4 linked regions of the Drosophila melanogaster genome follow. The protein of the gene in region 2 purifies or fractionates together with the protein of the main gene of each other region. This does not show direct contact. Each region holds a gene or a part of one and is shown on either strand. Other genes may lie near its edges. The genes, in order: Elys, Bap60, polybromo and erm.

What was found.
Region 1: the proteins of Bap60 (region 2) and Elys purify together in Drosophila melanogaster (affinity purification with western blotting, with the first as the bait; one study listed by BioGRID). This does not show direct contact.
Region 3: the proteins of Bap60 (region 2) and polybromo purify together in Drosophila melanogaster (affinity purification with western blotting; 2 studies listed by BioGRID, with this or other methods). This does not show direct contact.
Region 4: the proteins of Bap60 (region 2) and erm purify together in Drosophila melanogaster (affinity purification with western blotting; one study listed by BioGRID). This does not show direct contact.

The regions. Positions count from the first base shown.
Region 1 is NC_004354.4:19,650,386-19,658,331, reverse strand, and holds the start of Elys (elys), read right to left. Parts: upstream 6,028-7,946; 5' UTR 5,877-6,027; coding exon 5,774-5,876; intron 5,706-5,773; coding exon 5,070-5,705; intron 5,011-5,069; coding exon 4,694-5,010; intron 4,640-4,693; coding exon 4,276-4,639; intron 4,207-4,275; coding exon 4,016-4,206; intron 3,881-4,015; coding exon 3,104-3,880; intron 3,035-3,103; coding exon 1-3,034. Other genes in the region: Ranbp21, read left to right, coding at 7,032-7,946.
Region 2 is NC_004354.4:13,156,945-13,161,495, forward strand, and holds Bap60 (brahma associated protein 60kD), read right to left. Parts: upstream 2,565-4,551; 5' UTR 2,430-2,564; coding exon 2,322-2,429; intron 2,254-2,321; coding exon 970-2,253; intron 910-969; coding exon 754-909; 3' UTR 501-753; downstream 1-500. Other genes in the region: CG12096 (uncharacterized protein), read left to right, coding at 2,939-4,089, 4,146-4,515. UniProt on the Drosophila melanogaster protein: Involved in the recruitment and site-specific anchoring of the Brahma complex at specific promoter sites.
Region 3 is NT_033777.3:24,799,457-24,807,148, reverse strand, and holds polybromo (polybromo), read left to right. Parts: upstream 1-1,889; 5' UTR 1,890-1,976; coding exon 1,977-2,928; intron 2,929-2,986; coding exon 2,987-4,578; intron 4,579-4,636; coding exon 4,637-6,089; intron 6,090-6,147; coding exon 6,148-7,115; 3' UTR 7,116-7,182; downstream 7,183-7,692. Other genes in the region: lili (lilipod), read left to right, coding at 1-171, 232-463, 530-738; Ude (Uracil-DNA degrading factor), read left to right, coding at 7,644-7,692.
Region 4 is NT_033779.5:1,949,737-1,956,359, forward strand, and holds erm (earmuff), read right to left. Parts: upstream 4,818-6,623; 5' UTR 4,590-4,817; coding exon 4,578-4,589; intron 3,144-4,577; coding exon 1,320-3,143; coding exon of another isoform or gene 1,059-1,319; 3' UTR 503-1,058; downstream 1-502.

The sequences.
Region 1 (7,946 bases), 6.5 Mb from region 2:
CCGTCTTGTCTCCTTCTTTGGGCTGCTCATCCGCCACATGTTCGACCTTCACAACGACCTGCTCTTCGGCTTCTGCGTCGACATCCTCTTCTGGAATTTCCCCAAGACCACTAGACTGCGTTGCTTGCCCTGCTGGCAAGGGTTCCAACTCCGGCACCTCCAGCACCTCCAGCACGTTCGGCACCTCATCCACCGCCATCTCGATATCCACATCGGAAAGTACTGGCAAGGGTTCCATCTCCGGCACCTCCAGCACCTCCAGCACGTCCGGCACCGCATCCACTTCCATCCCGATATCCATATCGGCACGTGGCTGCTTTTGCTCGCTAAACTCAACTGTGGCCACTGACTCGTTGCTCGGGGTCTCCTCCTCCATTGGCCAATCCTTTCGCTGCTCCGGCTGAGTATCCTTTTCCTTCGCCGTCTCCTCATCGCTATCTAGGACAATGGTGTCGGCCACATCCGAGTCGCTGTTGACCGTGGCGCCCAGCGAAAGGAATGGACTGGGGACACCAGCCGCCTCCTCCTGACATTCGTCCTTGAAGGCGAACAGCTCCGCACTGCTGGAGGCCGCCGATTGCTGGGGTCGGGCGACATAGCCGCGCACTTCTGTTCCATCCAGCGCTATGACGCAATCATCATCGTCGTACTCCTCCTCTTCCTCCAGCGAGCCCTTGGTGGTGTCCAGGTCGTCAACCGTTTCCAGACTATTGGCGCGGTACAATGAGATCGGCGTGCCATCTCCATCCTCGCCATGAGGTGCCTGCGGACTAGATGTCTGTGATACGTTCGTGTCGCTGGGCAGGAATGAGGTGGGCGTGTGCGTAACCGATCGGGATGTGGTTATGGAGCCCGGCGACTCAACAACGATGGAGTACATTGGGTCATCGGTGTGCAGTGTTGGCAGCATGGGATTCCGAATGCCGGCCGAGGACACGTTCGAGTCTTCGCTACTGAGGCTGTAGATGGGCGAGGAGAGGGGCTCCTGGGCCGTTCCTTCTGAGTTGCTTAGGAACGCCAGCTGACCACCGGTCGCCAAAGGCTCCTGCGCCTGATCCTCATCCTGATCCTGCTCTTGCTCCGGCTTCTGCTCGTCCTGTGGATTCTGTTGCTCCTCAAGCGATTTTGTGTCACCCAGCTTCAGTTCCTCTTCGTTCTCCACATCCTGAGTATCTTGCTGCTCAAGTGACGCCACATCGTAAGTGGACATTCCCAGCGTGGTGTCCATCATCTGGTGGTGCCCCTGTATAGCCGGCCTTGCTGATGGCAGAGACCACTGTGCGCTGGGTGCGGCCGTCAATTCTGCACCAAGATCGGTGGATTCCATTTCGCCACAGATGGTAGTGCGCTCGGAAATCTTAATCCCACAGCTGCCGCTGGAGAAGACCTGTGACTGCGTCTCGCCCATCTTGGACGAGCAGACGGTGGGCACAAACTGGGAATGTGATGACGTCTGAGCCGGCTGGACAGTGCTGAAGCTACCGAATCCACTACTACTCTCGCTCCCTGTTGCAGTACCAATCTTGCTACCGCTTCCATTTCCCCCATGTAGCAATGAGTTTCGGGGCTGTGGTCCTGCTGGTGGGGCGAAATAATGAGGAGAATTCCGCGATGGTACCGGATCCACCAAAGACACATTGGCCGATACTAAAGGCGAGAGGAACTCATCCTCCTCGTCGGACTCATAGCTGCAGGCGCTCCTTGGTTCGCTTCTTGACTCGATCTCCACAATGATCTCGTCAGTTTCCTCCTCACCCTCAGCCGCACCTTCGCTGCCCATCTCCGTCGATTTATCAGATTTATCAGTTCGCAGAGGAATGGGCGGCACAAAGCGAAATCTTTTTGGCCCCGCCAGCGCTGTGAATGTAGCCACCGGCGGAGCTCTCTTAACGGCATCCACGGCCCCGCTTCCCTTCAGGATCGGTGGAATCGGCTGTGGCGAACTGCTGCTCTGGCGTATCGTCGTCGACTGTCGCGCCTGGAGGAAATTTGGCGGCTGCAATAGATTGGTCGCCTCGTTTTGCTTGACCTCTTCCTGCTCCATTTGGTTCGAACTTTTTTCTCGAATGGATCTCACATAGTCTTTAACATCCTCCACCATTCGTTCAACCATCAGACAAGGACGCTTATTGGGACGCTCCGTGCCTAGCTGCCTCTGGTCCTGTAGATTGGTACGCTGATCCTCTAGCTCCCGCTGTCGTTTCTCCACCACCTGGTGTGGTACCGGCTTTACTATGCGCCGAGGAAGTGGAAGCTCCGAATGTCCGTATTGCGCGTGCCGCAGGAATGGCACATTGGTGTAGCCTATTTTTGATTGGATCGAAACGGGAGTCATCTTTGGAGGGGACTCGCATTGCGTTGCCCAGTGGGCACTGACGGCAGAACTCTGAAAGATGCCGCCCAATTGGCCGCTGGCGTTCTGTTTGACCAGCTGGCAGCTGAATGGCTCCAAGGGACCGGTCTTTTGGTAGGGCTCCAAGGTGTCTCTGATGCGAAGATACGTGCCGGCGATGTTCTGTGTAACTGGTCCCATTGTAGCGCTGTATGCTGGGAGTATTGTATTGGATGATTCATCTCGCTCCCGCTCGGCGGCCACCTCATCCATAAAGGACACGGCCTCGATGAACTTGCTCTTTTGAAGCAGCATTATCAATTGCACGCAATCCGTCTGACGCGATCTGCACTGGCGCAGTAGACTGTACAACAGCCGTTCCTCTGGCTCTCGCAGGTACAGCTCGGCCAAAACTTTGAAGCGTCTGATTTCAATGCAGTGGCGGAAGAAGCGCTCCAGCAGCGGCTGTCCATCCTCGTCGTCGTCGAGGCGAGCGATTTGGAATGCTTCCGTTATGTTTTCGTTGGCTAGGAGCACTTTCATGTGCAGCGCCGAGGACAATGGACCGGGTGGTCGACTGACCACCTTCTTGGCTGCCTTGACGGCACCTTCAGCCAGCAGTTTATCTATTAACAGCCGCATCTGCCACGATTTCAAGTTCTTAGCGGGGGCAGGCTCCTTGTATAGCTCCTCTACGCCTCGCTGTAATCAAATACATCACAAAACGAATGAATATAACACTTTCGCTTATATTAACCGATCCGAACTCACCTCGTAATCGCCGTGGTCCAAGTACCAGAAGCAGCGCAATGACGTGGCCAGATCTTTGTCCAGCTGAAAGGCAATCTGAAAGCGCCCGACCAGCTGTTGGTTCAGGTCCATCAGCAGGTAGAGGATAAGAGCATGTTTGTGACAGAGTTCTATGTCGGGACTGAGCATCAAGTGTATATACGCATGCAGCGAGTCCGGCGGATAGGGTTCCGGAAAGGAGGCGCGTTTTCCCAGAGAATCAATGTAGAGGATCTTTCCCTGCGCTCGTTTTTCCGAGTACTCGTGTTGCAGGCGAACGAAGGCCTGCTCGCCGGGTACCAGATTATCCATGTGCTGACCCTCCGGCAGGAGGCCGTGATCGATAAACCAAAGCAGCACTCTTTGGTACTCGAGAACCGTTTTCAGCGCCCTCTCGTTGGCACGGCAATCGTCCAAAATTGAGGAGGTTAGCCTGCGCCGTCCCTGCTCGACAATGTAGGACTGCAATCGTACCAATTCACGCAGCTGACCGGATAGCACTTGAAACTCGCGCCGTTCCCGCTGGTCCAGTGGATAGCCGCCGTAATCAAAGATGCCATGGCAAAGTTCCGAGCACCTCGTCTTGATCTGTCCGGCGCGCTTCAAGATCCAGTTGGTCAGCGTGGACAAGGAGAGTTGCGTGTTATCAATCATGTTGCACAAGAAGCTGCCATCCATCCAACTCCGTGCGCAGTCGTTAAGCAAAGCTCCGCAGTTGTGCTCCAGGGCCACCGACAGTATCAACTCGTACATGGCAATCTAGAGAGCAAGATAATGCAATGTTACTTTAAAACGAGTATAACGAGCATGATTCATTTCCCCAAAGACTGTGGTACTATATGATACCAGAAGATTTCCGGATAACTGATAATAATAACCTAGTGTGTAGCTCACCTTAGAGAATGTGGCGTTAGGGTTAAGCTCACAAAATTGTGGCAGGAGACGCAGGCGAACGATGTCCTCGTGGTAGATCTGAGGACGCAAAAAGAGCGTGGCACGATCACAGCGAAGTGCGTTCAGAAACCGATGCTGCACTCCGTCCTGGGCGTAGTACCGTTTGCCAGTTGGAGTTAACAGTGAGCAATCTGGAAATAGACGGTATTACTTGGCTATTAATCTTACTGGCGCTGGCTTCAATCACCGCTGTCACTTACCAAAGGTTAGTGAGTTGGGATAAAAGTGCTCATCGTAGCGCTGCAGTGAGACAAAGTGCAATATGGTGGTGGAACGCAAATCCAATGCCAGTCCCGTCTGTAGACCACTGAGTATGTAGCCGGACATGTAATTAGGAACTTCGTTTTTGTGAACGGATGTGGGCATCTCATCCTTGTACCACTGATTAATGTCGAACAGGACTAGCTTGTTCTTTTTATCTGCACTTGAGTGCCACGAGATGACAATCAGCAGCGTTCCGTTGTCGCCGGCAAAACTGAAAGTAGACGCCGTGGCGCAGCCGATCACGGAGCAGATGCCTCCGTCCAAGATTTGGCGGTTGCGCACGGTTCTAGAACGGTAGTCCTGCGAAGCAAGAAGTCAATATTGGTCTGTGCGTGACGGCTCAAGATTTCTCACCTTAAAACGGATCGTGTGGGTTTCCCGGTCCCGGTACGAGCCCCTGTAGCAGACCGAGTGCAGCATCATTTGCAGGACGTCGATATTTTGGTACAATGCACAGATGTAGAAACAGGGTTTGGGGTCATCCGGTGGCATAATGAGGCACATTCGCTTCACTGCTCTATTGACCCCTTTCCTTTTTACTGGCGAATTCAGATCAGTGGTCACGTCGAAGTTGATTAGGTCGTAGATCAGGATTCGGCCGTCTTCTAGACCAGCAGCATAGCCGGGCGCCATGCTAATGCCCATAAGGCAACTGATTCCAATGGATGCCACTGTTGGTAAATTGAAGGTTAACCTAGCTACCATGGCACACTGGCAGTGACAGACTCACCGTCCATCCGCACAGCCAAGTGAGCCCCTTTGGAGCGACAATGGGTCAGCTTGGAGCTGAGTTGCCTCTTGGACTCCTCGGAGGATACAAAGTATAGGTTCCCGTCCGACGGCTCATCTTTGGAACTGGGGGAGCAAAGGCTGCGCCTTTGGGTACTCGCCTGCAGGCTGTCGCTGTTCAGATCAACCAACAGCACAGTGCCTTCCTCGGTGGCCACGGCCAGACAGCCTTTAAACCGTCTCAGTCGCGTGAGTCCATAGATTCTTTTATCGAGGAACGTCAGCGCGCTGCACGTTATACCGTGAAGGTCGAAGCGGCGGAGCACCTGACTGTTGCGAATGGCATAGATGAGCACCTGCGTGCTCAACGGGCAGTCGATGGGTCTCTGATCGCCGCTGTTCCATGACTCCAGGCAGATGGCTAGCATAGCGGGGCGTTCGTGTTCGCCGGGGAAGAGCTCCTCCACGCAGCGAATGCTTTTGCGCGGCCCCAGATCATCGGATTCGCTCCAGAAGCAGTGCCAAGAAAGGTAATCGCCGGTGGACATGCTGCAGACCAGCAAAGTGGCATCGCTTCCATACCGCCAGGTCACCCAGCCCCATTGCCCGTCGCGTATGATGCCGCCCAGGTATTCGGCTGTAAAGGGATAGCGGAGATTCTTGGTGAATCGGTTTCGGCACACGCCGTATTTTGTGCACACTTACCGGCGTCCAAATGTGCCGACGGCTCCCGGCCAAATCCGGGTACTATGCGCTCCGGGAACGCAATCGTGCGGCTACCGTCCAACTCCACTTCGTGCCACTCCATCTCTATTTCATCAATGCCGGCCGCTTGCAAATAAAAATAAAATTATAAATACAGCGCTCTTGCACCGATTGATCGGCGTGTATGTTTTGTGTGTGCGTGAGTGTGTGAGTGCCTGAGCGGCCTGGCGTTGCCGCCTCGATTTGGCATACAAAAAAACCGTTGTTTTGCTTGTCGTGTATGCACGCTGAGTGGCCCAGTGCTGGCTAACGTCCGACAGAGATTCGCAAATTTAGCGATGGCAAGGACTTGAGTTACTAGTTACCATATATTTCTGTACATTTTCAATTTTTTCTATATACATGCTTAAACAAGTTTGTAACTGAGAGGCAAGCCAATCATTTGAAGAAAAGACTAGAAGCCGGCACTTGCAGCCTGGCAACTTCAACACCAGCAGACTGGCAACGCTGCAGAATTGCGAAAATATTGCGCGAATTTCATAAGGAACTCAACCGGCTGGCTTTGCATTTGAAGTCCGAATGAACACAGATAGTAGCAACCTTGAAGCGTAATGCCTTGTATCACTCAATTCAGGCATATATAGCTCCGAGTCAAGCTCTTAGTACATACAATAGCAACAATACTATCTGGCAACTTTCGTGCGCCGCTTGTCAACCCTGTCCCGTGCGATTTGCTGCACATTGTTCTAAAACAACCCAGCCGGAAAAGCGGTTTCAGTAGTGGTCTACTTCTATATGCGACTCAAATGTGAGAGACCTGACCAGAGGCTGTGTTCCAGGCAATAGGCGCTACCCAGGGCGATCATCGGTGCCCACAGGCAATCCCAACCAGAACACCAACACACCACAATCCCAGCTCACGCATTCCGCATTTCGCACACGGAACAGACCACACAACACACAGCACATAGCACATAGCACACACGCACACAGGTAGCGGCAGCTCTTTTAATCTTCCAAAACGTTGTCTGGCTCGCTGGCTGGTTGGCTGGCTCCACAAAAGCATTGGTCACAGACAACGCACGAGGGGATCGCGGCGGAGATCGAGAGGCTAGGCGAGATTTGGGTTTCGAGCGGTGGGCAGGGGCAAGCAGAGGTAAGTGGAGCACATGGCGCCCGTTGCAGGAAGAAGCCGCACCCAGGAAATTTGTTTCAATTCCAATCTAACGCAATACCCACAGGTAGACGCTAGCTAGCGATGTCCCAGCACGGAGGCACCGAGGCTCTGGCCGCCGAACTGGCCTCGGCCATCGATCTAGTCATGAACCCGATGACACAGCAACAGGCGCGCCTGGAGGCCTACATGGCCTGTGAGCGGTTTAAGGAGGAGTCGCCAATGTGCGCCCAGGTGGGCCTATTCCTGGCCAGCTCGCCGCAGTCTAACCAGCAAGTGCGACACTTTGGCCTGCAGCTGATCGAGTACACAATCAAGTACCGATGGAATTGCATTACGCACGAGGAGAAGGTGTACATTAAGGACAATGCCATCAAGATGCTGAACGTGGGCGTGGGCCCGGCGGAGGACCGCTCGCTGCTGCCCACGAAGGACGCGCTGTCGCGCATCATCGTCGAGATGATCAAGCGCGAGTGGCCGCAGCAGTGGTCCGACCTGCTGCCGGAGCTAAGCCAGGCCTGCACCAAGGGCGAGGCCCAAACGGAGCTGGTGCTTCTGGTCTTCTTGCGACTGGTGGAGGACGTGGCCCTATTACAGACAATCGAGTCGAATCAGCGGCGAAAGGACATGTACCAGGCGCTAAACAACAACATGAACGACATCTTCGAGTTCTTCCTGCGCCTGGTGGAGCAGCATGTGACTGCGTTCCGCGAGACAACGCGTCTGTGCAACTACACCAAGGCGAACGCGCACAGCCGTGTCGTCGAGATGGTACTGCTCACGCTGAGCGGCTTCGTCGAGTGGGTCAGCATCCAGCACATCATGTCCAGCAATGGCAAACTGATGCACTTCCTCTGCATCCTGCTCAACGACAAAGCATTCCAATGCAATGCGGCCGAGTGCCTGGCGCAGATCACGAACCGCAAGGGCCAGACCAAGGAGCGAAAGCCGTTGCTTCAGCTGTTCAACGAGGAGCCGCTGCGCTACATCTACCAGGCC
Region 2 (4,551 bases):
GTCTTTAGTTTACTAGTGATATTAATCCTGTGTTGTAGTCTAAACCGTTTAAAGCTTGTGCGTAAATCGTTAAGTTAAGAAGCATCAACTGAAAATGCGTTTTATACAATTTTAAATCAACAGCATCAAAGGATTGCAGAACTATGGAACTTACTAAAACACATAATTTTAAAGTATAAATTATGAAATATTGTGAGATGACTCAAACGCTGGCCTTTCACATTGTTAGATTGGTCAGCTAAAACCCTACAATAATATATCCAAATGTAGATCAAAACGTATTTTAGAAACAATCAGTTAACATGAAATCGTATAGGATCGTAAGGCTACAAGTGATTCTAAAATCTCAATTAACCAACAAATGCATTTTCTAAAATTTAAAGGGAACCCAAAAGTATCAAAAGGCTAAATATATATAAAGTCAACTGAAATCACTCGTAATAAAAATTAAACTTTAGTGTTTCTAAAAGTGAACCGAATCAAATTTTATAGACAGTTTTATATTTGTATGCCATTTTATTAGCTTACAGTTAAGTCCAATATTTGTGCTGGATGTGGGTATTTGGGACAACTGCAAAGGGGATTTTCGTTTTGGAACGGGATGGAGTTCGGCTTGTCGGAAAAAAAGGAAATATTTTAAGCTTAAACTAAACTGGCGAAGGAAAAAGAGTTTGCCGTGCGCACGGTTTATGGAGGTCTCTTGACGGTGGACTCCACGAATTGGCTGGTGGAGATGATCAGCTCATCATTCACCTAGCCGTTGCGTATGCCCAGCGCCTGCTCCAATTCGGCCCGCTTCTGGTTGACCTTGGTGAAGAAGTAGCGCGAAACGGCCTCGTGCGTCCATGGCTGGTAATAGAACTCCGCCCGACGCTCCTCCTCCGGATTGCCAGCTACATCGGTCATCAGCTGAAAGGACGAAAGGTTTAGACAACGGTATGAGGCAAAAAAGAAAAAAAAAGAACTAACCTTCAAATCCCTCGTCTCACTGATGATCCAGCGATGAATAAACATTTGTGGATCCTTGGCGAAGCTTAGGAAGAACTCCCTGTTCGTCTTCATCTGGTTGATCGTGTCCACCGTCTCGTGGATCTTGGTGTCCAGCCCCTGGATCTCCTGTTGGCTCGCAGTGCTCATCAGGAAGCTGTTCATCTGGTTTTTGAGCGTATCATCCACCTCCACATCGATGTCGTAGCAGGCAGTCTGCTTGTTCTCTGCACCGCTCTCAATGAAATGATTGATCACAATCGGATCGGGCGGATGCAGCAGCGGATTGAGGCGTTGCGGTATCTCGGCAAACTTCATCCGCTGGCAACTGAATATCTGCTCCAGATACTTGTCGCAATTGATGTACTCCCGCTCGTGGGCATCCTGTAGCTTGTGCGTCTTGATGTACTGCCACAGGGCGGATATGATCACCGGCCTGGTCTGTGTGTGTACGCCCAGCAACCTGGCGAGTCGCGGGTCCAGCTTGAACTGCAGCGGCTGGTAGTCAAGCAGCAGGAGGATGGTGCAGCGCACATTGCGATCGCCCGGCCGCTTCACCTGGAACCCGTCCGTCTCCTGGGTGGTGTGAGTGCGATGCCACTCGACCAGATGGTTGTCCGGACCGTACAGTTCCTTATCCAGCTCGATAACCAGCGACTTGAAAAACGACGAAAACTTGCGTTTGATCTTTGTATTGGGATCGCCCTTGCCATCCTCTAACAGGCGACCCTCCACCCGCAATTCCCAAGAGGCAACGGCGCCCTCCTCGCCATCATTTGTGGGCTCCTTGCTGGGATAGAATGTGTTCGAGATGAAGATGCGCAGCTTGCGCTTCTGCTTCATGGGGCGCTTGAGGGCCTCCTGGATGTCCAGACGTTTGCGCATTATGGTGGCATCCAGTTTTCGCTCAAACGTCAGCAGATCCATGTACGCTTGCGATTCGGGCACCAGATCCCGCACCTTCTGCGGCAGTATCTTTTCGGCCAGCTTCTTTTTCTTTTTGGCCGTCGCAAAATCACTTTTGCTACCACCGCCACCCAAACTGCGGGATTCATTTGACCTCTTGCTGCCTCCGCCGGATCCAACACCGCCACCTCCGGCTCCAGTACCGCGAAGGCTGCTCTGAAAGCCCGGCTGTTGGGCGGCGCGCTGCAGTAGCGATGGTCCCGGTACGCCGGGTACTCCAGGAACTCCCGGTACCCCGGCCACGTTCGCCGTGCCGGGAACAGGTTGAGTAGTGTTCGGATGCAGGGGAAACCCGCGCGGCTGTTGCGGATAAGATTGTACATGCTTAATTGAAACGGTAGGTGCTGGATAATGCGTGGAAAACTCACTGGAAAAGAGGCGCCTGGCGGCGGATAGGGACGCATGCCGGGCGCCGGTGGTGGTGGCTGATAACGCGACTGCACCGGCGCTTGGCCAGGTGCAAAGCGTTGCGACATCTTTGCTACGAAGTCCTCCCTTTTTTCCAGCCGTAAACAATTGCCCTTTGCAGACGAAGGAAAATTTCTGCCTTTTTGTTTCAATACAACAACGCGTCAAACACACACACAATTTCGCCTGTAAAATGGCGTCAAAACAGGGATGCACTATTACTGGTGGTGGTCGACTGGGCGATAGATATTACAACGTTTGGCAGGGCTGCGGCTATCATTTTGCACTTTAATCGAAGTTATTCATTTCAATAGAGTTACAGCTATATAGTTGGCTTTGAAAATATACTTAAAAACTTTCAAGACATTTGTAACAAACAAACAATACGATAAGGAATATACTAGCACTTGCTACTATCGATCGAAAACATTGGTTTGCCCAAACGCTCGATAGTTGCAGTGTCAAGCCATAAACATAAGCAATATCGATAGTCGCCAATAAGTTCGGACAAGTAACGTCTTCTGAAATCGAAGAACGATAGGTTTGAAACCGACTGTCATTTTAACACAGAAAACAAATGGAAATGGAAGACAATTGGTGGGTCACCAAGTTAAAGGCTCTGGAGTCGAAGCCACAAAGGCTGGATGCGCTGACCGCCATGAACTCAGCCATCGCAAAGGAGGCGGCTCTTCCGCGTCAAATAATTGAACGCCTGCTGACCACGGACCAATTGTATGACTGCGCCAATCCCGCCGCGGATTCCCATGTTCCCAAGGATCAGGCCGTGGACGTGACCCTGGAATTGCTGTGCCACTGCCTTGATCAGCTGGCGATGGACACCGCCGACGAGCAGCTGTCCAGTCTGCTAAGACGTGGCTTGACCCACTCGAATCCAGCCTTGCGTGCCCAGGTGTTGGCCAGTTTGTTCAAGAAGCTGCTTCGCCAGTTGACCGTCGGTCAGGTTCTCACCCTGCCCAACAATGAGCTTATTTTCCTCATCTTGGACGAGCTGAAACAACCGGATACGCAGAGTACCTCTCTGGCCATCAATATCCTATCCATCGTGCTGCCTCAGCGAATCAGCAATGCCGATGTGCAGGCAAAGCTAGTACAGCTCCTAAAGCAAAATGAGATCGTGCGCTGTCGCGCCTACGAATTGGCAGTGGTCCTGGCCAAGAAAAGTGCCACCTTACTCAGTGACGTTACATTTATTCTGGATGCGGCTCTCAGCGAACTGGATAACGACGATGTTTTATTGCAGGCTAGCGTAATGGAGCTCCTAGTGCCACTGGCCGAACAAAACCATGGTCTGTCCTACATGGAACGTCGTCGCGTTTTGGATATAATCAGCTATCGGGTCCAACGCGTCGAAGAGCATCCGCTAGACGCCCTGCTCGTTCCCAGCATTATGAAGTTTTTCGGCAAAATTTCCGTATACCAGCCTCTGAAAATCATTGGCGGCTACCCGCACATGCTGGCCTGCTTGTTCATGCAGCTTCAATCGGAGGATGAGAGTATTCTGCCCACTGCCATGGATACGCTTGCCAATTTGGCCACTACTCCACAGGGCAAGATACTGCTGAACATGCACTTTAGCGGGGCCATGGAGAAGTCCTTTAAGAAGTATGGCTCGCATACTAAGAAGCTATCGGCGCACATCAAGAAGAGGCTGCTCAACTCCCTGGATGTGATTTATGACTTCAAGACGCCGCCTGCCACAGAAATCATGTAATGCTTAACTCTATAATTGAAGTTTTTCTTCTAATGATTCTCTTCTTTTTCAGTAACATTGGTAAAAACTGGTACGAGTGCTTCGCTGGGGGAGCGCATGCTAATATCATTATGGACCTGATAAACACTCCGTTCCCCGATCTTCAAATGGCCGCCTTGTCGTTCTTGAAAACCATTTGTAAGTACAACTGGGGCATTGTAGCTCTAAAGAATACCGGCGGTGCTGTGGAGTTCCTTCTTTCGCGTCAAAAGGATCTGCACAGGGACATTAAGTATATGAAGTGGCAAATTATGGAGATTCTGTCCGCTAGCGCTGAGTTTTCGCCCACCGAAACCATCCGTTTCACGGCCTATGTGAACGAGGGACCCTATCACGTCCAGGCGGATCTCGATGTAGCCACTGAACCTCAGGGCAACGCATAGAAAGCCGGATGGCAGGCATTTGCGGCCTTCGATTGC
Region 3 (7,692 bases), on a different chromosome or scaffold from region 2:
GAGCGCAAGGAACTAGACAAGCTGCGCACATCGAGCACCTTCCAACGCACATTCGTCTATCCGCTGGCCATGCTGCTGCTGCTCTTCTGCACAGCTGTCACCATTCTGCTGGTTGTGCAGAATACACTAGAGCTCCTTATTGGCATTAAGGCGCTGCCACTAAGCACAAGGGTAGGTCTAACTGCAGGGATCGTAAGACGAATGCTTATTGAGTTTGTTTCCCTTATTTAGCAATTCGCATTGGGCATCTCTTCGCTCTCGAAGTTGGGTCCCTTTGGTGCCGGCCTGGAGGTGTGTCTCATCTTCTATCTCGGCGCCACCTCGGTGGTGGGCTTCTACAGCATGCCGTTCATGCGCAAGGTTTGTCCCAAGCGGCGCCAGACTTCGCTGCCACAGCTAATGCTGAACTGTGGCTTCATGCTGGTTTTGTCGTCGGCATTGCCGCTTCTCAGCAGGATCATAGGTAGGCTGTGGCAAATTACTAATGAATAATACAGTGTTTAAAAGCGACTATTATTGATTCTTACAGGCATCACAAACTTTGACCTGCTGGGTGATTTTGGAGCCATCGAGTGGTTGGGAAACTTCCAGATTGTATTGCTTTACAATTTGGTTTTTGGAACCACAACTGCCCTGTGCTTGGCAAACAAATTCACGGCTACGGTGCGCCGGGAGCTAAGAGCCCGGTTAGTGGAGAACTATGTGCTCTTTACTAACTACATTAGCTTCATCAACTGATATTGGCGCAAGCGACACGACAATGCGTTTTGTATAAACCGACAGGAGGTGAGGCGCCTTGTCGAGTCGCCGCTAAAGAGCCTAACAAGTTTCTATACCAAGTATCGTAACCTTAGTCGTAAGAGCAGTCGCAATACCACCGCTAGTCGCAAGGCAAACGAAATGAACTGTTAAGACACGAGAAAAACATGGGAGATGGGCAGCTGAAACTATATAATATACCTTTACATATGTTATATGATCACGTATAGTTGTGCAGAACTGATACTAATATTTAAATTTTGCAATGTTAACTGTTGTGCTTAATTGTTGTACTTTATACAGACAGAGTCCTCACAGTGCACCAGCATATCACTGTGGTGCCAGTAAACACAGAACAATGGCACTCGTGTACCATGATATTCGCAGAAATCTCGCCAATAACTAGCATGTAAATAGAAGATGTAATTGTGCAACATAAGCCGCAGTCAATTTGCAGTAGGCGTAGTTTAGAATTTCGTTTCTTGTCGTTCAGAGTGAATTCCATTTCATACATGTTTTTCGCTATTTATCCACGTATATTTCAGTTATTTTTATAAGATTTTAACAATGTTCCTTAAGCAGCGAAACGATGAGGCGTGTTCATTTCATTTTACGGCATACTCAAATCTGTAACCCAATATTCACACAATCACACACTAACAAGCGTCTAAAACTTATGTGATAAAAAATAATAATAAACAAAGCATTTTACTAAATTAATCGAAATATCATGGCTTTTTAATTGCGCGCTTGCGTTTTGCTGACTTTTAAATTAAATATTGTTCTGTTTAACTTTTTTTTCAGCCTAACTTCGTTGTTTCTATTGGCTTGAATGCCTTTTTTCGAGAAGGAGCTAATTTAAGGAAAACTACCTACGATATTGCTGTGATTCAATGACTTAATTAAAACTTTAAATGATGCTTTAGGGATGCTATAATAAAGAACTTAAGTAAAATGATGTTCAGCTTGTTTATTTGGTTAAGAAATATGATTTTTGGTGGGAACATACCATTTAAAATAATATTCACCACCGCGCGCTTCGATTACGATAACTCACCACGCAAGTGGCCGGCTATCGAACTATATATCGACCGCGCACTATCGAACCTTTCGCCCACCACTACTTTTTCGCTCATTCCCAGAATTTGTGGCATTTTGTGTGGCGTCTTATTATCGGATATTTAGATTTTAACTGTAATAAGAACAGGGATAACACGATGCTGAGCCGCAAGCGCCGGGCGAGCAGCATATCCAGCCGGCAGGACGAGGATCCGCTGCAGCTGGACGACTCGACGCCGGAGCAGTCACCGGTGCAGCAGACGACGACACAATCGGCGCGAAAAAAGCGCCGTCTCGATCCCACAGAACTGTGCCAGCAATTGTACGATTCCATAAGGAACATAAAGAAGGAGGACGGTTCAATGCTGTGCGACACCTTCATCCGCGTGCCGAAGCGCCGGCAAGAGCCCTCGTACTATGACGTGGTGGTCAATCCCATTGATCTGCTCAAGGTTCAGCAGAAGCTGAAAACCGATTCCTACGACGATTTGGATGATCTGATGGCCGACCTGGAGCTGCTTATTGGCAATGCCAAGGCCTTCTACATACCGGGCAGTAGCGAGCACCAGGACGCAGTCTCTCTGTGGCAGCACATTCATTCGCAGAGACAGCGCATTATGGAGGCAAATGGATTGGCGGAGGAGGAGCCGCGTGCCAGACGCATGTCGCGCCAAGTGCGCCGAATGACCAGCAGCACTGAACCTGGTGGCGATGGAGCAACTGATGACGAGTACAACCAGTACGAGGAGCTCTTCGCCTCCGTTATGACCGCTACCGATCCCGTGGGCGATCGGTTAATGCACCGCATGTTCCAACTGCTGCCCTCCAAGAAAATCTATCCAGACTACTACGATGTCATTGAGCATCCCATTGATCTGCGCCTGATTGCGACCAAAATACAAATGAACGCTTACTCCTCGCTGGCGGAGATGGAACGGGATCTGCTACAAATGACCAAAAACGCATGTCTGTTCAACGAGCCTGGTTCTCAGATCTATAAGGACGCCAAATCCCTGAAACGGATCTTTACGCAGCGGCGTATTGAGCTGGAGATGGGCAAAGGCAAGCTGGCTAAGCGCGTCAAGAGTCTCTCCAGTGCAGCAATTGCTGGTAAGATTAAAAAAAACATTTTTTTTTCTTTTTTGTATATAAATTATTCTTTTTCCAGCACTAAAAGAGGAGGTTGACAGCTCGGACGACGAGGAGACCAGCAAAAAGGGCGAGGGGCCCATGTGGGCATTGTTCGATCACTTGTACAACGCACCAGGAACTTCGGAACATCCGGGAGTTACTGGTCCTCCATTGGGAAACTCTCTATGGAAACTGCCAGTTCGTCGTTTCCATCCCGAATATTTTGAGCTGATCAAACGACCCATATCTATGAGCCAAATCCACACAAAGCTCAAAAAGGGCGATTATGCGAACATTAGTGATCTCACCGCCGATCTATATCTCATGCTGGACAACGCCAAAAAGGCGTTTCCGACGTCCCATCGCACTCACAAGGATGCGCTGAAAATGTTAAAGCTAATGAATGCCAAGCTGGTGGAGGAGTCTCTCGAGGAGGGCAGTGATCTGGATGACGAGGATGCAGAGGAAATGGACACAGAGGTATTTACGGTTAGCACGCAGCCGGAAAAGCGCAAGCCGGGCAGACCCCGCATCAACTCCAATTCGAACTCTAACGCCTCCCATACACCAAATAACTCGAATTCACCCAAATCAAATCGCATTGCCATCAACGCGGCTATTAAAAAGAAGATTCTGAGCATACAGAAATATTTGGTGGACTACTCCTTGGGCAATCGTCGTCCCATCGAAATGTTTATGGAAAAGCCGCCTCGCAAGATTTATCCGGACTACTACGATATCATTCAAAACCCCATTGACATGAACACTATCGAGCATAACATTCGCACAGATCGCTATGCCGCCGTGGAGGACGTGGTATCCGACTATCGACTTATGTTTTCCAACTGCCGACAGTATAATGAGGAGGGCTCTAACATATACGAGGATGCCAATATATTGGAACGAGCTCTAAATGAAAAGCTCAAGGAGTTCCCTGGTCTTACAGAGGGCAAAAAAAGCCAGCAGAAGTACAGCAAGGTGGGAAGAAAGTTAAAGACCGCTGTAATTACAGAGCGGCTGTGGCAATTCTATGAAACAGTAAAGGAGTACCAGGAGCCCAAGGGTAAGAGGCAGCTGTCGCTTATATTTACGAAGTTGCCATCCAAGAGCGAGTATCCGGACTACTACGACATTATCAGGGAACCTATTGACATGGACCGAATCGCTCAGAAACTTAAACAGGGCGCTTATGATACCTTAGATGACTTGGCAGCGGACTTTCTGCTGATGCTGGAGAACGCCTGCAAGTATAACGAGCCAGACTCGCAGATCTACAAGGATGCGCTCGTGCTACAACAATTGACACTGCAGCTGAAGCAACAACTGCGCACCGAGCGCGATTCTCTTCCGGATGTTCCTTTGGCTGTTCAGGAGCTGTTCCTCACACTGTTCACGACTATTTACAATCACCAGGACGAGGAGGGACGTTGCTACTCGGATTCCCTGGCCGAACTGCCGGAGTACGATGAGATTGGCGAAGGACCCAAGGTTCGCGGCATTTCGCTGGACCTTGTAAAACGAAGGCTTGACAAAGGAGCTTACAAACGGCTTGATGTTTACCAGGAAGATATTTTTGCCTGTTTGGAACGTGCAAGAAAGTTGTCCCGCACAGATTCGGATATTTTTCAGGTGAGTAATAACTACAATAATAGAAGCATTGTACTATTCTAAGAACAAACTTTTCCAGGACTCCATCGAGTTGCAAACATACTTCATTCGCAAGAGAGACGAGTTATGCAAGGACACACTTAGCTCATCCGCTTTAAATTTTAGTCTAGAACGCCTTATGGCTGATGTGGAGCTGTGTCGCCAGCAAAAAATGCAACAAGAGGAACAGGACCAAGAGCAGGATAAGGAGAAGGATGAATTCAATGCAGCCAAGGGTGAAAGCATGACAATAAACCAGCAGGTGTTTTCTCCCGGCGATTACGTATACGTGCAAATGCCGGAAAACAAGATTCCCTCGATATGCTGCATAGAGCGCCTCTGGACATCACCCACCAATGAGAAGCTGATGCAGGCTTCGATCTTTGTACGGCCCCACGAAACGTACCATGTAACCACTCGCAAGTTCCTCGAAAAGGAAGTGTTCAAGAGCAGCCTTTCGCAGACCATCTCGATGGATAAAGTGCAGGGCATGTGCTACGTAATGAACATAAAGGATTACATCAAGATGCGTCCGGAAAACTTGCCTGAAAAGGATGTTTACGTTTGCGAGTCTCGTTACAATATCCAAGGTCGCTGGTTCAAGAAGCTGAAGAGCTGGCCGCCAGTCCGTGAAGGCAGCTCGGTGAAGTTCGTTCCACGAGAGCAGCCATTGGAGTTAAAACGTGTGATGTCTGTGTTTAAGGAGCGTTTGGAAAAGCACAAAGGAGAACTGGAGGAGCTGAAGCTCCAAGAGACGCTGGTCGAAAAGGAGAAACCAAATGTGTCTTGCGATCCGCCGCCAAATGCTGAGGTTGGCAGCACGTACTACCAGCAGTACAACACCATTTGCAGTGGGGCCATAAAAACGGGAGACTTTGTTTACGTGGCCACCCAAACAGGAAAGCAGTCGGTGGCACAGGTCCAGCAGATTTGGGAGCAGAATGGAAAATCATACTTTAAAGGTCCATGGCTGTTACCACCCAGCGAGACGACCCCCGGCTTGGGCAAGCAATTTTATCGCCAGGAACTGCTGCTGAGCACAGTCGAAGAGGTCAGTCCGGTGGTGGGCATCGTGGGTCGTTGCGCCGTCCTGGAGTACTCCGAATTTATCAGCTCCCGACCCACGGAGATATCCGAAAGCGATGTGTACATTTGTGAGTCCGTCTATGATGAGCTAAAGAAAGCTCTTCGCAAGTTGGTTACGGGCAACATGCGCAAGTTCCAACACAGTCCTTCTGTCACCGAGGATGAGATCTTTTACTTTAAGACTCCCATTAAGCCCTCCAAGGACTTTAAGAACGAATTGAATGAACTGGGCATGCTAGAGGATTCAATGGATGGGGATACACCCTCGCTGAGCTCAGACATTGCGGCCATGTCCTCGCCGGCTCCTTCAGTAAACTCCACGCCACTGACGTCCAAAGTTAAGGCCGCCAAATCGGCCAAAAAATGTCTTACCGGTTACATTTTGTACTCTAGTGAAGTTCGAAAAAGTACGTTTATTTAGTATACTTTAAAGATCATGTATAACCGTTGAACTTTCTTTTACAGGCATTTGCCAGAGCAACCCGGACGCAACCTTTGGAGACATATCCCGCATGGTGGGCACCGAATGGAAGAATCTGCCCTCCAGCGTTAAGCAGAGCTGGGAGGATAGGGCTAGCCGACAGAATGAGGAGACGGCGGCCCTACGGCGCGAGTTGGACGACGTCCAGAACAGTGCGAGTCCCTCATCCCAAGTTTCGCAGGATGTCTTTGGACAGGTGCTCACCTTTGAGTGTCAGTGGGATAAGTGCGACTTTCAGTTCGAGGAGCTTAGCGACTGCACGGAACATTGCATGTCCGATAGCACCGGACACATCCAGCGCCATCCACAAGCGGGCGTGGAGACGGAGTATGTCTGCCTGTGGCGCAACTGCCCGCGGGTCAAGAAGTCTGTTCAGGCCTTTCCTAACGTTCTGCGCCTCATCAAGCATGTGCGCGAGGTCCATCTGAGCAAGTGTGGCAAGACGATTTCGGCGGCAGACCGCAGCAAGAATTTCGTGCCGCGTCGGCAGAAGCATGCGCAACTGGCCACTACTGTGCCCATCCCGCCCAGCCTTGCGCAATCGCCGCGCGCTCCAAGCAATCTCGAGGCAGTGCAGCTCCAGCAGCAGCAGCATCCGCAGCAGAACATGCACCAACTGCAGCAACAGCAAACGATCGTCTTGGGTCCGCCACCAGAGCCGCTCTTCGTCACAGTGCCGCCGCGCACCACTCGCGTCATCCACTCGGAGGCCTACATTAAGTACATCGAGAGCCTGCAGACGGGCAGCCATCTGAACGTGGTCACCTGCAACAACAATTGGCGGCGTGCACTGACCCACATCACACCCGCACAGGTGGTGGCCAAGACGGCGCTACCCGAGAAGTGGATCGGACCGAATCTGCGCGACCAGGGCAACGTGGTGCAGGCACTGTGCCACCTGCGCAACTTCATGGTCGACGATATACTTCAAATACGGCGCAGTTGCAACTAGCCCATCGTTCACCGCTAAGCCCAAAGCTTTTTGAGTTCCATGTTAATAAACAACACAAACAAATTATAACAATTTTCGTATTGATTGGGGAAAATATATCATAATAAATATGATTGCAAATATAACGACAGCAATGTCATATTACATGCTTTAATATGCAGAGCGGCGTTTAATTAGGTAATTAATACTTAAGATCGTTTATTTCCTCTCAATGTTATCAGTTTCTCGTGGCGCTGACGTCATGGCTAAGTATCGATTATTTTCTCGTGGGTTTTGTTTTGCTCCGGTGCTACGACAACAAACCGGTTTCCAAACATAGAGTCACCCAGTTATTTTGTGGTGCTTATCTAATTGGCCACGCTCAGCTCTGATCAGTGCCTCTCAGTGGTGCTCATTTTGCGTCTTCCTCCCATGATTAAGTGCCATATGCCGTCGAGTTGGAGACGGCTACGCAAAATCAGTCGTATTCTAGCGCTGACAGGAAGCAGACAGATACTCACCCAAGTATTAGCAACCAAAGGAGCAGCAATGGCAGAGGGAGATTCGAAATTTGGCTTCAAGGACATGGAGAAGGCGT
Region 4 (6,623 bases), on a different chromosome or scaffold from region 2:
GGTTATATGTGTTCATATATTTTTCATACACTTCCACCGTGCCTTATTAATTGAGCCGCCTGACTAATAAGGATGCTTCTGTTGCATTTTTATGAGCGGGCTCAAGAACTTCAACCTTCCTGCTCCAGACCCATTTCCACGCCGGTATTCCTGACTTTTCTCGAGCCACAGATCAAAGTGCTATGCAAATGATTGAGGCGTGTGGCAGGCCCAGGCCACCTGCGGAGTTTTCCCGAGTGGAAGGTGAAAAAGTGGGGGCTGGTCGGCACTAATTAAGTTGCAAATGTCATGCGGCAGACGTGGCGACAGTTTAGAGCCCATTAAACGCGACTCTTGGGCCCGAGTAATGCAGCAATAATTGTTTTCATTTCGCATCCATTTGCATTATTTAGGATCCCTCCACTCGACTCAATGACACCCCACACTGTTGCTCAGTTATTTGCATATGTGCATATGAAGATTATATACGCTTTCCCAGCATATCTAAACACCATTTTCGTTTAATAATTGAAGAATTGGTTTATTGCTTAAACAGTATCAATAATATCACTTAAGACCTAAACAAATACAATGCATTCATGGATCTTTGTTAAAATGTTTCTCAATTTCATTAATTTGCGTTGGGTTACACAGACACTTAGGGATAGAGTACGTACGGATATCTAGTGCAACTCTAAGATACATTTCCATCTATGTATATCGGTTGACAGACCCCAAAAAGCTGTAACGCAATGTTAAAAACACCTTTTTCTATATCGAAACGTGTCCTGGAGGATCTGTGTAGCGTGTCTACACGGAACTCAGGGCTTTCGGTATTGGCGACTAACTAGGTAAATCCTTTAACTACATCTATACATCGAGAGAGCTGCTTAAGTAGAGTGTTCTGTGAGACTTCTTAGGGATACGCTATGTACAAAATGCTGCTTGGAGATGTGGGCTGAGCGTTGGGATCATCATCGTCATCATCATCTTCTGAGTGGGGTATTGCACAAGTTGAAACCATTTGGTGGCTGCTGAGGTTCTGCGGGGTGGGTGGAGGTGGACAGGGGTCCTTCTGCCTAGAAGAGACCGTTCAGTGCGCGGACAGCACTGCCCAGAGCAGTGCATCCGAGCTCCGGGGACGGGGATTCGCCGGTATCCTGCCCGGAATTCGAGCTGCTCGCAGCGGCCGCCGCTGCCACAAACTGCAGTCAGTCGATCAGCAGATCGCTCCTGGAGGTGGCCATCGAGGATATGGCCGTGGTGGTGGTGGTCACCGTGGAGCTGGTCGTCGAGGTCGACCCCGTGGAGCTGTTCAAGCTTTCCGCATAGTATCGCTGTCAAAACACCTTGGCTATGAAGGTCTCCGAGAGTCTTTGCTGCTGCTGATGGTGTTGCTGGCTTTGCGGATGTGGCTGCTGCGGCTGGAGTTGCAAGAAGGCGGAGCCACTGGGATAATCGTGAGGTGGAGCCACTCCGAGCTGGTGATGGAAGCCACCGGGCGGATACTGCGAAACGGCGGACCTGGGCCAGGCGGGATTACTCGTCTCGCCGCTGGAAAGTGGCGGTGTGGTGACATTGATGGGCGGCGACATGCTGCCGGAACTGGAGTCCGGCGTGAGTTGACCCGATGCCTGGCCGTAACCGGAGGCAAGTGGCTCCCTGCGCGTGTACTCGCGCCGCCTGTCGTAGGTGGGTGGCATGTCCAGGTCATCCAGATCGCCGCCGATCTCGTGCAGCTTCCGCATGTGCTTCTTCAGATCGAAGTTCCGGCAGAATCCCTTGGCGCAGACGCGGCAGGTGTAGGGCTTCTTGTCGTTGTGCGTGTGCATGTGGAAGGTGAGGTTGTAGACCTGGTGGAAGGCCTTGTTGCAGATGTTGCACTTGTAGGCCTTTTCGCCGCTGTGGGTCAGCTTGTGGTTCTTGTAGTTGCCCTTCTGGTGGAACCCCTTGCCGCAGTACTCGCACACGAAGGGCTTGTAGCCGGCGTGGATGCGCGAGTGGGTGTTGAGGGTGGAGGAGCGATTGAAGGCCTTGCCGCAGGTCTGGCACTTGTGCGGCTTTTCCGACGTGTGGATGATCTTGTGCCGGCAGAGAGTCGAAGCCTGGCGGAATCCCTTGCCGCAGACCTTGCAAACAAACGGCCTGGCTCCGGTGTGGACGGGCATGTGGCGGGTGAGGTTGTAGTGGGCGTTGAACACCTTGCCACATTCCAGGCAGGAGAAGGTCTTGGGCTTGCCGCCACTGGCCGATCCGGGACTGCTGTCCTCGATGGATCCTTGCGGCGAGGGGGAGCGGGATCTGGCTCCAGTGGCGGAAGTGGCAGTAGACGCTGGAGGCGGCGTCACTTCGCCCTGATCCTGCGGCGATCGTTTCCTCTTCAAGTTAGCTTGCAATCCCGAACTCTGGGCTGTTCTCTGGGCCACTGGCGACTTTTCCAGGGTATGTTGCAAATTGGGCACCGCCTGGGATTGGGCCACTGCCGCCACGGCAGCTGCCGCGGCCAGTGGATGACCCAGATTTCTTCTCAGCGACTGCGAGTGATGCAAGCTGGCATTCAGGGATGCGGTGAAGCTGCTCAGGTGGGCGGCGCTGGCCAGCGATTGCTGTTGGGCGGTAAGGGCTGCATATTGGGCGGCAGCAGCGGCGCACATCAGCTGATTGGGTGCATAGTACAGCAGGGGATACTGCGAGAGCAGCTCCTGGTGGCGGGAGCTCACAAACTGCTGCACAGCAGCGGTGCTCGGCGGCGAGGCCACCGATGAAGTGGCGCCCGAACACGGACCCGGCACATACTTCTTGAAAGCGGAGTCATAGTTGACAGTGGATGGCGACTGATCCAGGCTGATCACCTCGATGGGGCTGCAGGAGCGCTCCGAGTCGGCATCGATCTCCGGATCCTCATCCTCGTCGTCATCGTTGGTGGCGAAGGAAACCGGAGCGGGCTGCGGCGGTGGCACTTGGCTGGGCCTGTGATCCGGCTCCATGATCTTGGCTATCGAAAACTTTAGGGGACACGCCCGCTTGGCGCTCTGCTCGTCCTGCTGCTGGCTCTGCTGGGCAGGATTCTGTTCGGAGGCGGCGCTCTCCATCACGGGGCTCTTCGAAGGCGGCATCATTGCGATTTCTCCCGCTGGACTACACGGTTGCATGCCACGCGGACTCTGTAAGAAACGAACAAAGAGCCAAATTGAGTATGCAAACTAAGCAACGGGTTATCAATTAATCGAAGGCATACGCCTCCATTGTTTGTGGCCACAGTTGGGGGGAAATAACTAGGATAAATAACATTTCTGGTTCCCATACCTTTCTAAAAACTTCTTGCCTTCAAAAGCATATATGTAAAGCATATATTTCGGTTTATAATTATGAATATAATAACAACACCTATTCCCAAGTTGCTCGGATTTCAAGTGGTCCCTATTGTTTTGACCGCAGCTGTACGGACTATTTACCGCCTGATCAGTCAAGTGCAACTAATGCGTTGGCAATTCGGGAGCACAAACAAACGCCAGCGGAGGGCGTGCTCCCAGCGGCAGGACATTTCCGCAGGATAATTCAGGGCCAGCCAGCGGGTTGCAATTAAACGCAAACCGCAGTGCGTTCCATAATATTACCCGATCGATTTTGCATACCACGCTATTTGCATTTAACCCGTGCTTTGCCCTGGCTTACACTCCACTTAACCCAAACAAAGACCTCAATCCTTTCGCCAGCATATTGCCATCAATCATAACACAGGCCCAGTAAGCAGTATGCGAATTTTTTGGCGCGGGTCTTGGCTTTATGTGAGATTCATTAAATCGCTTACACTCGACTGGAGGTGTAAGGCCGCCTCGCCGCCTCGCCGGCTCCATCTTCCCCATGTGCCCTCGAGTGTGGCTAATGTGCGACATCCGGTGCGATTACCGACTTCCTTGCCGCTTTTAATTAACTTGATTTGACGCCTCAGCAGGCCCAGCTCCCATCTGGGTCCGCAGTTCGCCCATCTTGCAGTTTCCCTTCCAAAGTGCGCTTTAATCTCATTAAACGAGAGGCGGCAACCATTTCACACGCTGACCCGGAGGCAGCGGCGGTCAGCCCTCGATCCCAAAGTTTCCCGGGTGCCAAACTACTACTACTACGAACGAGTAGTTCCACTTTTAAGCAGCCGAATTATGTTGGTGTTCTAGTGGCCACTTCAAAATTTGCCTCTACGAACGCCACTTGGGGAGTGCGAACCACATCGAGCTTATTAACCAAGTGCGTGGAATAATATTCAATCAACGGAGCACACAGGCACTTGGAAACTTTGTCTTGAGTTGAACAAGTGGCTATGCCCTAGCACATGTTAGAAGTTATGAGATGAAGCTGGCTTTTGATGGGGTTAATCAAAATCATAAGTGTTAAGAATGATGGTAAAGATACAAGACGAAATACTATCTAAAGAGGACATAGACCTATGTAAATGCCTGCTTTTCTTACGAACGTCACGCAAATAGCTTCGAAATGCTTCTAATATGAAAAAGCGAACTTGTACTTTATAGTTTTTTCCTTTTCCCGTCGGAGTTTTGCAATTACAGAGTAATAAATTAAGTTTTTATGTATCGAATACGTACAAAGTAAACCATATTCAGGCACTGCCTATGTGGATATCCAGTTCCCTTGGCAGGCGGCCGATCTCCACTTGTTAGAGGCAAAACACAACAGTTGGCACACACAAATTGAACTTGGTCCTTTTACTTTACTATTTAAAGTTCACTTGTTTCGTCGATAAGGATATACGCTTTTTAAATGCAAATCGAGGGACGCGAGGAACAGGACGCGTTCAGCACAGGATCAGCGACCGAAGCGGAATGAAGGCAAACAGCGAACGGTGCGGGCCTTAAGAAATATGAAAAGGACACACGGCGAGTGCTGGGGTGAATCCTGGCGAAACAACCCCCGAGAGTCCTGCGTGCTGCCGCCGTTGGCGAGAGTGAGAGATGAAATGCATGCCGAGGGAGAGAGAGAGATGGATGCAGACGTCCTGGTCGAGCGACAGAGCGAGATGGATTGATGGGAGCGACGGGCAAAAGGAGAACTTAATCATCACGTTCAGATTGGAGGATATGTCCTGACGCCGACGTCGCCGTCGACTGCGACTGCATTATGAATGAAAAGACAAAATGTCGAATTGGAATATTACGGCGAAAGAGAGAGGCAGTGAGCAGAGACCGCCCCTAAAATATTTATATAGAGATAGAGCTCAAGAGCCCAGGAAGATGATACATAGAGGAGTGACGAGATGGAGGAGGTTCCGCAAAAGAGGGAGCGCACTATGCGTAGCACTCGGCTGCTGGAAAGAGACCGATGGACGGACGGAGAGATGGATGGATGGATGGATGGATGGGCCACCTTTGGCCGTATTCCGTTCACACTTGATTTGGATGGGGCGACACCAGACACCAAGAAATGGCAGCCACCGGCCTCGTGGATGCCTCTCGAGTTGACTTTTTCACTGGCCCACCCCTTTCCCCGTTCCCCGTTCCCAGCGCATCCCCCTCCTGGAAAGCTCATGCCTTTTGTTGGGCGTTTCAATTGTCGTTTTGGCATTTCGTTTTATCAGCGTCTTTGTTTGCTCACCTTTAGCCCGCCAGCGGGCAAGGATTCTTTGATTCTCTCCAATTCTTCATCTTTTTTTGCTATATACAGAGAAAATAATTCACCCGTAATCCAATCAGTAATCCCTATTCTATGTAGGAATGTTAGTCGCAGGATAAGCATCAATCGCCAATTTTTAAAGATTGTAAATTGTATAAAATTGGTTAGATAACTTTATATTATTCTTTAGCTTCCCTGTTCTCTAGGTGCACCTTTCTCATTTGTTTGATTTGAAGCCCCCTGCATCGCCAGCCAGCACTAGTTAAATATAATCCCATATTCATTTTGATGGCATCTCCAGCGCGGCTTTCTTGACTTTGTTTGCTCTGGCAGTGCTTGTCGTCCTGCTCCACCAACTCCATCCGTTTGCAGGACCACGGTCCAGGACCTTTTCTTGGGCAATGCAGGGCACATGGCTGCTTTTGCTGGAGTTGAGCAGTTCAGCAATTGCAGCTGCAAGGCCACACAAAAGCACAACTCTTCGGCGAGTCCGACGGGGAGCGTGGGGGTTTTAGTGGATCCTTCAAGGACTATGGCCGCCATTTCGACTGCATTTTCCGTTAATCTGGCTTGTTGTGCGGCTCTTGTGTGGGGAAATCGATATGCAAATATCAGCTCTTTGTTGATTAGGTTTCCTCATTGGAGTAATGTTGATTGGATGGGTTGAATGTGGCAACCATAAAAACTATTGTACAATATTTGTAAACTATTTGTTTGATTCCTTTGAGATGCCGACGGGTAAATCTACTTTAACATGAAAATTCATGGAAATTCGTAATACTATTATAGGTGTCTTCTACTGCCTAATTTAACAAGCTTCAATATTGTGTGAATAATTCCAATATTTTAGTAAGCATACGTTCGACGAAGCAAAAACAATCCGGTGATTATCCTTGACAAAAAGCGGGCAAAACAGCGTGATTAACTGGAAGCTAAATGAACGGCACATACTGAAATGTGCAATCTGCATTTAGTTGAATAAATAAACGCAGTGAAAAAAGGCAGCAACGAGGGGAAAATAG